Ovis aries: one gene and its partner. The protein of the gene in region 2 binds, or shares a complex with, the protein of the main gene of each other region. Links are inferred from orthologs where the notes say so. Each region holds a gene or a part of one and is shown on either strand. Other genes may lie near its edges.

Region 1 (4,374 bases), on a different chromosome or scaffold from region 2:
GAAAATCTGTCCTGCAATCTGCTGGGCTTGGAGAACAGACACAGAAAGCTGGCTGCCAAGTTAACAGGAAACAATATTTCTACCAAGGACACACTGCGAGAGGAAACTGTCATGATGACCCCTCCTTCAGTGGCGGCTGGTTTGTTTTATCCTGTAAAACCCCGGACTACCAGAACTTCTGCTGTTTGGACTTATACTGGTGAGGAGGAAGAAACACACGCACTCGCCTGTGGGATGGCAGTTGCTACGACAGGGAGCCCGGCCTGAACAGCCAGCTGGCTGCAGGGCTTCAAATAAAGGTTCCTAGACCTCATGTTCTTCTATCTACATTTTGCAGTTTCCAAGGAAACAGGACCTGGGGCCACTGTGGTGAGACCCAGTGCTGACCCCTTCACACACAGCCCTACTCCACGTGGAGCCCATGAGAACACAGCCTCACCCACATGCTATCTACACTCCGCCCCATCCCAAATCCTAGAGCAACACTTGTCTCTTCCTCTGGTGGCAGGATGCCCACGGTTCCTCTGCTACAGTGAGTGGTCCCCCTCACTGCAACCAGCCAGTAACCTGACCTCGTCAGAACACAGGTCCTTCCTGAGGGCTACAGGCCGATCATACTAAGACAAACACTTAGAATCTGAAGTGAATGTGAAACAAGTAAGAAGAAATGCCAAGTAGGAGTCAGAAACAGGACCCGGACCCTGGAGAAGAGGTGAGGCTAGAGGAAAGCCTAGGAGCCACTGGCATCAAGACGGCAACTGAAGCTACCAGTGTGCAGACTGCCCTTGGAGAGGCCATGCGGTGAGGGCAGGAGAGCCTGAGCGCCTCCCCTAGCTGGACAGCTGCTGCAGAGGACGACGAACCCGCAGAGCAGACTGAGAAGACCGATGGGAAAGGGGGTGATGACACGGCTGGGGAGGCCAAGGGCTGTGAGGCAAGACCTCCTAAAGTCTGCCTGTGATCACGTCACCACAAATGCAGTTACGGACCTCACTTTTGTAACCACTAGTTTGATTTTGACAGAGGATTAATCTCCAAATGCTAACCAGCTCATGAGAAGTTCCTGATGTGTTTTCCAGAATGCCAGTGTGTTAATCTGCAGTGAGAAATATACCTACCCAGCAGGCTAACATCCTCAGCTGCTCATCAGCACTCTCCTTCCCTAAAGACACAGGCACACAAGATGACTGACTGCTCTTCTGAGGCTGCTGAACGCAGGTGAGGTCGACAGTGACCTGGAGCTATGGTAACCAGTGATGGGGGCATACCTGGCAATGTCCCAGGGGGAAACAAAGAAGCCCTGCTGTGGACTTTATGGAAAGGACTACTTACAAAAGGGTGAGCAGGGGCCAGAGACCCAACAAGGATGGTAAGGCACCTGGGACTGGCAGCAGCCCTCCAGCTGAAAGGAGGAGAGGGGACAGTGTTCCTACAGCCTGGTAAGAGCTGGAAATGTGGAGGAGGCCCCTGGGCATGGGTCACAGCTGTGGAGGGAGCACGAGGAAACACCCCCAACTCCTCCTGCCCATGGCTTCCTTCTCTCAATGAGTCCTCACTGGCAACCAGCAAGGAGGAGGCACGTAATCTAGGAGCCCACCTCACAGAGCACACCACAGGCCAGGGAGGGTGCATCTGAGGACTCCTAAGGGAGAATAAACAGGCAGGATAATAAACAGGAGAGAGAGCATGTCTCTACAGACACACCTGAATCCATGTAAGGTTACTAAATGGCAAGATCCTTTTACAAAAAAGGATCCTTTGCATAAGAGGATCTTGTATAAGACTATATGTATTTATACAAGAAAGGACTTAATTTTTAGAACAGAGCTTTTAAATAATAAAAGTATAAAATCCTTCTGCCAAAGATAAAAGGTAAAGAGCTGGGAACAGATACTCAGAAAGTTGGCAACCCTTCCTCCAACAGGAACCTACACAAAGCCAAGTTACTCATTTGTGGGCCCCTCCCCTTCTTATGTCTTATCTGACTTTTCCAAAGGTAATTACAAAGACTGTAACAGTATCTTAAAGTTTATTTACAATCACTTCCCAGTTATTTACATAAGGAAAACCTGCTGAAACACACTGCTGTCACCATCAGTGACGGCTGAAGATGAAGTATGACTCACTTTTTTCTACAATCTTTAATTTCTGGAAGGTTTCCAATACTTCCCCATTTAGTATTCTGGGTAAGAAGTCCCGTATTTGCATCACTTCAGTTGTCAGTCGTTCCAGGTCCTTCTTTCTGACTTTAACAAATTCTTCTTTAGTTCCCATGTGCTAGAAAAACAAGCAGATCTCAAGATCACAGGTCTCCTCAGAGACCAGCAGCCCAACTCAGCTTGCTTCCTTTTCTTTAAGGCCTCGTGTGCTCAAAATAGTTTCAAAGCCCGTCTTTACCTAATGTACTGTTTTCTATGTATATTACATCCAGATAGCTCAAGCCCCAGCCTTCACACTGTAAACTAGTTTTTTTAAAGTGCAAACAAGGCCCTATAACGCCAAAGAAATCGCGGGCAACTTTTTCTTAATGCTCCGGCAGCAAGCTATCAGGCGAGAAAGGCATCGGAGTGAATGCGTACTGGGTGCGCCAGGCCCTTTGCGGGCCGCCCTGCTTCTTACCGACCACAACCCTGGGAAACGGGGAAACAGGGAAGCCAGGTGACTCTCGGGAATCCCAGGTCTGGGGACACAACCTGGATCTGAACTCGACAGCTGGGCACCCCTGAGGCTGACAAGTCCAACGCAGGCAGGGCCTCGCGGGCGGCCAGGCCCGGCCTGTCCCGGGGGGTCACAGGAGCACGCCCACCGCCCCCTGCGCGGCCCCCTGGACCCGCACACCCGAGAATTTGGGAGAATTTTCCAAGGCAGGGGTTGCAGCCTCCCTTCCCCTACCCAAGGCATGCTGTCTGCGGACGACGCCCAGGGCCCTCCCGAACACACTGGACGGCACCCAGGAGCGGTGTGGGGGAGTGGAGGGCGACAGCTAGAGCTCACAGGCCGAGACCTGGATGCCCACACTAACCCGACAGGCCTCCTCAGCGCCGCCAGCCTCGTTCATGACTGCCGCGGCCTTCGCTCCTGCGCCTGTGCGGCGGCGCGCCCTCTGACCCTCACGCCAGAAAGCGCGGGAACGCGTCCACACCGAGAGTCAGGTACGGAGAGCCGCGAGGCTCAGGCCACGCAGTTTTCGAAGCATTCTCGGCTGAAAGACCCAGAATGGGTCGGCGGGATCCCGCGTTGGCTCTTCTGGCTTAACCAGACTCGTAAACTTTGTTAACTGCAAAGTACAAGGACAGTGAGACCCTCGCTTAAGTGTCCGGTGAAATAAATCGAATAAGGCCCTTCCTGCTCGGCAAGGGATGTCAGACCAAGGGGTGACAGGTTCAAAGGAACCAGCAGCCGGCCGCCTGGCTCCCGCACTCAGCTCCCAGCTCCATGAGCAAAGGCCAAAGCTTTCTGACAACAGACTGCTCGGGAGGTCTGCCCTCGATAGGGAGACTTAGTCCAGTCCGCTGGTACGTAACTGAAACGGCTACCGTAAGCTAGGACACATCGCCCCGTCCATTCAGCTGCCCCTACACATCCACTGAGTTCGCACAGTGCCCATGCGTTCAAAGGTACCAGTTACTATACCACTAGGACTTTGCCTGTCTGAAGCCGGCCGCGAGCTGACAAGGCCAAGTGCCCAGCGTGCGTGCCCTCCAGGCCCGCGGGAGGACCTCAAGCTCACGCTCTCAATCCTCGCGGCCGGGACCCGGGCACTGGGGGTCGCCGGTCGCTGAGACCAGAGCGGCCCTCGAGGGGGCTGCCCACAACATCCCACCAAAATTCCCAAGGGCAGCCTCTCTCCCCAGCCTCCACCCAGCCCTGGCGGCCGAGGAGTCCAAAGCGATTCAAGACTCGGTGCCGCGTCTCCCGGGGAACAGCTCCAATCGGACCAGGATTTAGTGGAGTGGGCGCAAAGATTCTAGACCACGTAAAACTGGCTATCGGACTCTTCCCGGCCAACACGCAACGCCGGCTAACCTCGCCGTCAACGGCCACGAGCTTTGGCTACCGAGAGACGGCAGAGGCGGAGAGGCGCGCCGCTAACCAGGGACGAGCCGCTCAGCCGGCTGCCTTGGCAGCCGCGCTAGCTCCCAGAACGCGCTGCGAGAGGCGGCCGGCGCCTTTGTGACGCCATCAGCCTGAGCGCCGCTGCACGCGCCACAGCCTTCTGCGCAGTCGCGACCCGGGCGGCGAGGCGGCGGGCGCTCTGTGGCGGCGGGCTGTGGCGGGGGATGCTCCAACGGACACGATGGCCCCCGCCATGCAGCCGGCCGAGATACAGTTCGCTCAGCGGCTGGCGTCCCACGAGAAGGGCATCCGGGACCG
Region 2 (3,803 bases):
AACTACTGAGCCTGTGTGCTACAACTACTTATGCCCACATGCCCAGAGCCTGTGCTCCACAACCAGAAAAGGTGCTGCACTGAAACACCTATGTACTGCAATGAAGAGTAGCTTCCACTGTCTGCAACTGGAGAAAGCCCATACGCAGCAACAAAGACTCAATTCAGCCAAAAATAAGTAAGTAAACAAGAAATAAATACAGTTTAATTAAAATTATATATATTGACTTTTCTCACTAGAGACAAGTCTCTAGAGCAAAATTTCACGAACCTCAATCCAAGGGCCTTGACCCCTGTTGGGGAGGCACAGCACTGGCAGGGTCATGTTGGCTGGTCCCCTGTCCTTTGCATCCTGTCCACTAGGTCACTGTGCTGTGCCCACTGTCAGAGGAGAGGCTTGCTGGATGTTCTGAGCCACCTACCTGGAGGCTGCCTGTCCTGGTTCCTCCCCACTCTGCTCTGCAGAAGGAGTGAGTCCCGATCCACCTTCTGATTCTTCAGGGTGATGCAAACAGTCTAACAGGGAGCTCTGGCTGGTGGCCCCGTCAGAGTCTTCTATCCTTGGGTTCTTTGGAAGTTTCCGAAGATGGAGTCCTTCCCTTCCTGGTTTGGAGACAAAAGATTAAGGAGGCTTCCCTTCATGGTGGTCCAGTGGTTAAGAATCCGCCTGCTAATGAAGGGGACAGGGGTTCAATTCCTGCTTTGGGGAGATCCTACATGTCTCGTGGCCACTACTGACAGAATTAGGATAAATTACAGGAAAGTCAGTGTGGTCTAGTGGAACCCAACAAGAGAAGCCACCACAATGACAAGCCTGTGCACCGCAATGAAGAACAGATGCTGCTCGCTGCAACTGGACAAAGCCCTCACGCAGCATCGAAGCCCCAGCACAGCCGAAAATAAATGAAAAGAAAAAAGAGAATTGAAGGGGTGGGGGACAGTGGGAGCACACACTGCCGTGACCCACAGCCAAACACATCTGGGTCGCTGATGCGACCTGAGGAGGCTTGTGCAAAGGGCAGGAAATTCCTGCTCTGACGCTTGCTTGGAGAGTGAGAGACGGGATGGACTGTCATCCAGGTGGGACCCACGAACTTATGGGGCCATGGGATTCAAAGGCTTTTAACTTGTGGTCTGGTCATGATGGATGCTGGATCCTGAGGTGACCTGGCCTGGCTCAGAATCACGAGACAACCTGTCCAGCTGACTGTTTCTCTGGGGAAGTGGTGAGAGGTGTGTGCTGGTTCCCTTGGATCTCAGCTCAAATTGTCCCTACAGAGGGGCCCTTTTTTTTTTTTTTTTTTTTTTTTTTTGGTGAGAGAGCTTGTGGGATCTTAGTTCCCCAACCAGGGATCAAACCTGTGCCTCCTGTGGAAACAGAGTCTTAGCTACTGGACCACCAGAGGAGCCCCTAGAGGAGCCATTCTTGCCCTTTCTATACAGCAACTCCTCTCGGACCCATGCTCTGTTGTATTCACTTTACATCTTTTCTGCAAGCGTCCGACGAACAGGGTCGTTTACCGTCTCCTCCACTACAATGTGTCCATGCAAGGAGGGGCCTCAGTTATTTCACTCTCTGCTGGGTCTCGAGTGGCTAGATGAGCATCTAATAAACCATTGGTGCTCAATAAATGGGGCTTCCCTGACAGATCAGTTGGTAAAGAACCCGCCTGCAATACAGGAGACCTTGGTTTCATTTCTGGGTCGAGAACCGCTCAATAAATACTTGGAAGATGACTGAATAAGTGCATGAGGAAATCCAGATCACTTCCCAGAAAATGCAGACGACATTAAATTTTACGTACCACTCTGGTTTTCCATGACACTTGTAGAATATTCAACCTGGGAAAACTGGGACCCAGAGTCATCGAGCAGTAAGGAGGTGACTTCTCAGCTCAGTTGCCTCTTGGTCCCTGCTACATTCCTAAAAATACCTTTCCCATCACTGAAAGCAATTCAGACCCTAAAGGTGCTTATTACCTTCTATTTGTTTAATGAAGGGAACTCCCTTATATAGAAATTGCCAATAGTGGCTGACTTGTCAGAATGCTCTGGCCCCAAATGAACCATTCATTCAATGAACAAATAATAAGGGTTGACTCTTGTTCAGTTCCATGCCAGACACTGTCTTGAGGACTCAGGTATGTTATGATAAAACTTCGAGGTAGAGTCTTCATGTTGTGCCATGTTACGGATGAGCAAGCTGAGGCCTGGAGAGATCAGACTCTGAAATGGGATTCAGGCAGTCCAGCTCCAGAGCTTTCACACTTAAGTGTACCTGAACACTTACTGAACACCTACATATACTGCATCTCCGACCAGGGAGTGAGAACAAACAGATAAACCAAACCCAGGTCTGATTTTTCTGGAGGTTGTCAGAAAGACCTTTCCACACTCAGCTCCTTATATTGTTGTTCAGTTGTGTCCGACTCTTTGTGACCCCATGGACTGGAGCATGCCAGGTTTCCTTGTCCTTCACCATCTCCAGGAGCTTGCGCAAACCCATGTCCATTGAGTCAGTCATGCCATCCAACCCTCTTGTCCTCTGTTGCCCCCTCTTGAAGTAAACCCACTGAGAGTTTCCCAGGTAGCTCAGTGGTAAAGCATCCGCCTGCCAATGCAGGAGACACTGGTTTGATCCCTGGGTCAGGAAGACCCCCTAGAGAAGGAAATGGCAACCCACTCAAGTATTTCTTGCCTGGGAAATCTCATGGACAGAAGAGCCTGGAGGGCTACAGTCCATGAGGTTGCAAAGAGTCAGACACAACTAAAACAACAACAAATCCATTGAATGAGCTCCCTTCCTCCAACACTGAATGCTAGAGTCCTCCTCAGCGTCCATTTGGCTTTTGGGGTTCCACTAGACCACACTGACTTTCCTGTAATTTCTCCTAATTCTGTCAGTTACAGCTCACATGGGCCCATTTAGAACCTTACCCCATTGCTGTGCATTTGATTAGCTCCCTTGGTGAGAAGCATTTTTCCTTTCCCCCTGATTTGACTTTGAAGGAATCAACTGCAAGACCTAAATCTCATCTTGATCTCATCTTCACCGTGCTTCCCGCCCCCTGCCCACTTTATGGACCCACCCTGGCACTGCACCCAGAGCAAAGCTCCAATGAATGTTTCTTATACAAACACATTTCTACTTTGTGGTCTACCAGGAAATGCAAAAATATAGCGGCTTCATTTGTTTAGTTTCTTGAGAAACCCAAACACTAGCTTGCTTTGCTCATCCAATGGACACTTATTAGTACCAAATAAAAAGCAAAAATACCAACAGGCGTGAAGAGGCTCCCATTTTCTTCCTGTGATCCATCCCCACAGGATTAATTTAAGAAAAACGAAAGCAGAACCTTGTGTTCAACACTAAAGGCCAAAGACATCAGGAGGGAAAGGGTTCTTTCACCACCTGCCAGAATTGTTTTTCTTTTTCCCCACCCATCCAGGACACACAGAAAGAACTTTCCTGGGCCAGCCCAGGGTCCACTGAGCTGAGGAGTCCACTGCCAAGACAGGCCCCGAATGACCTGCTGTGGGTGGGCCTGGCTGGCCCCAGCTTCCGCCTCCAAGGTCACAGAAATTCCTGTGCCTCCAAGCAGCTTGTTACTCATCTCTGCACAAACATCTTTTTTTTTGTTAATAATTCTATTTATTTATTTTTGGCTGTGCTGGGTCTTTGTCCCAGTTCAAGCTCTTCTCTAGCTGTGATATGAAAGCTTCTCACTGCAGTGGCTTCCCTTTTTGCGAAGCACAAGCTCTAGGGCACACAGGCTTCAGTAGTTTTGGCTCCAAGGCTCTAGA

The links.
Region 1: the proteins of BRME1 (region 2) and HSF2BP are in contact, whole or in part, in a crystal structure (PDB 7Z8Z), measured with the Mus musculus proteins. The link is inferred for Ovis aries from reciprocal best matches to the Homo sapiens genes BRME1 and HSF2BP. Residues at the interface, in NP_083321.2 of Mus musculus: Met541, Gln542, Asp543, Ala544, Thr545, Val548, Arg549, Leu551, Val552, Leu555, Ser556, Asn559, Ile562, Met563, Thr565, His566, Leu569, Lys573; in NP_083178.1 of Mus musculus: Glu23, Phe24, Val25, Lys26, Val27, Arg28, Asp31, Leu32, Arg34, Leu35, Glu38, Val39, Gln41, Ile42, Phe45, Leu46, Arg48, Ile49, Glu53, Leu54.

Annotation. Positions count from the first base shown.
Region 1 is NC_056054.1:264,402,475-264,406,848, forward strand, and holds the start of HSF2BP (heat shock factor 2-binding protein), read right to left. Parts: upstream 3,091-4,374; 5' UTR 3,059-3,090; coding exon 3,023-3,058; intron 2,278-3,022; coding exon 2,127-2,277; intron 1-2,126. Other genes in the region: RRP1B (ribosomal RNA processing protein 1 homolog B), read left to right, coding at 4,298-4,374. UniProt on the Homo sapiens protein: Meiotic recombination factor component of recombination bridges involved in meiotic double-strand break repair.
Region 2 is NC_056058.1:10,109,408-10,113,210, reverse strand, and holds part of BRME1 (break repair meiotic recombinase recruitment factor 1), read right to left. Parts: intron 603-3,803; coding exon 422-602; intron 1-421. UniProt on the Homo sapiens protein: Meiotic recombination factor component of recombination bridges involved in meiotic double-strand break repair.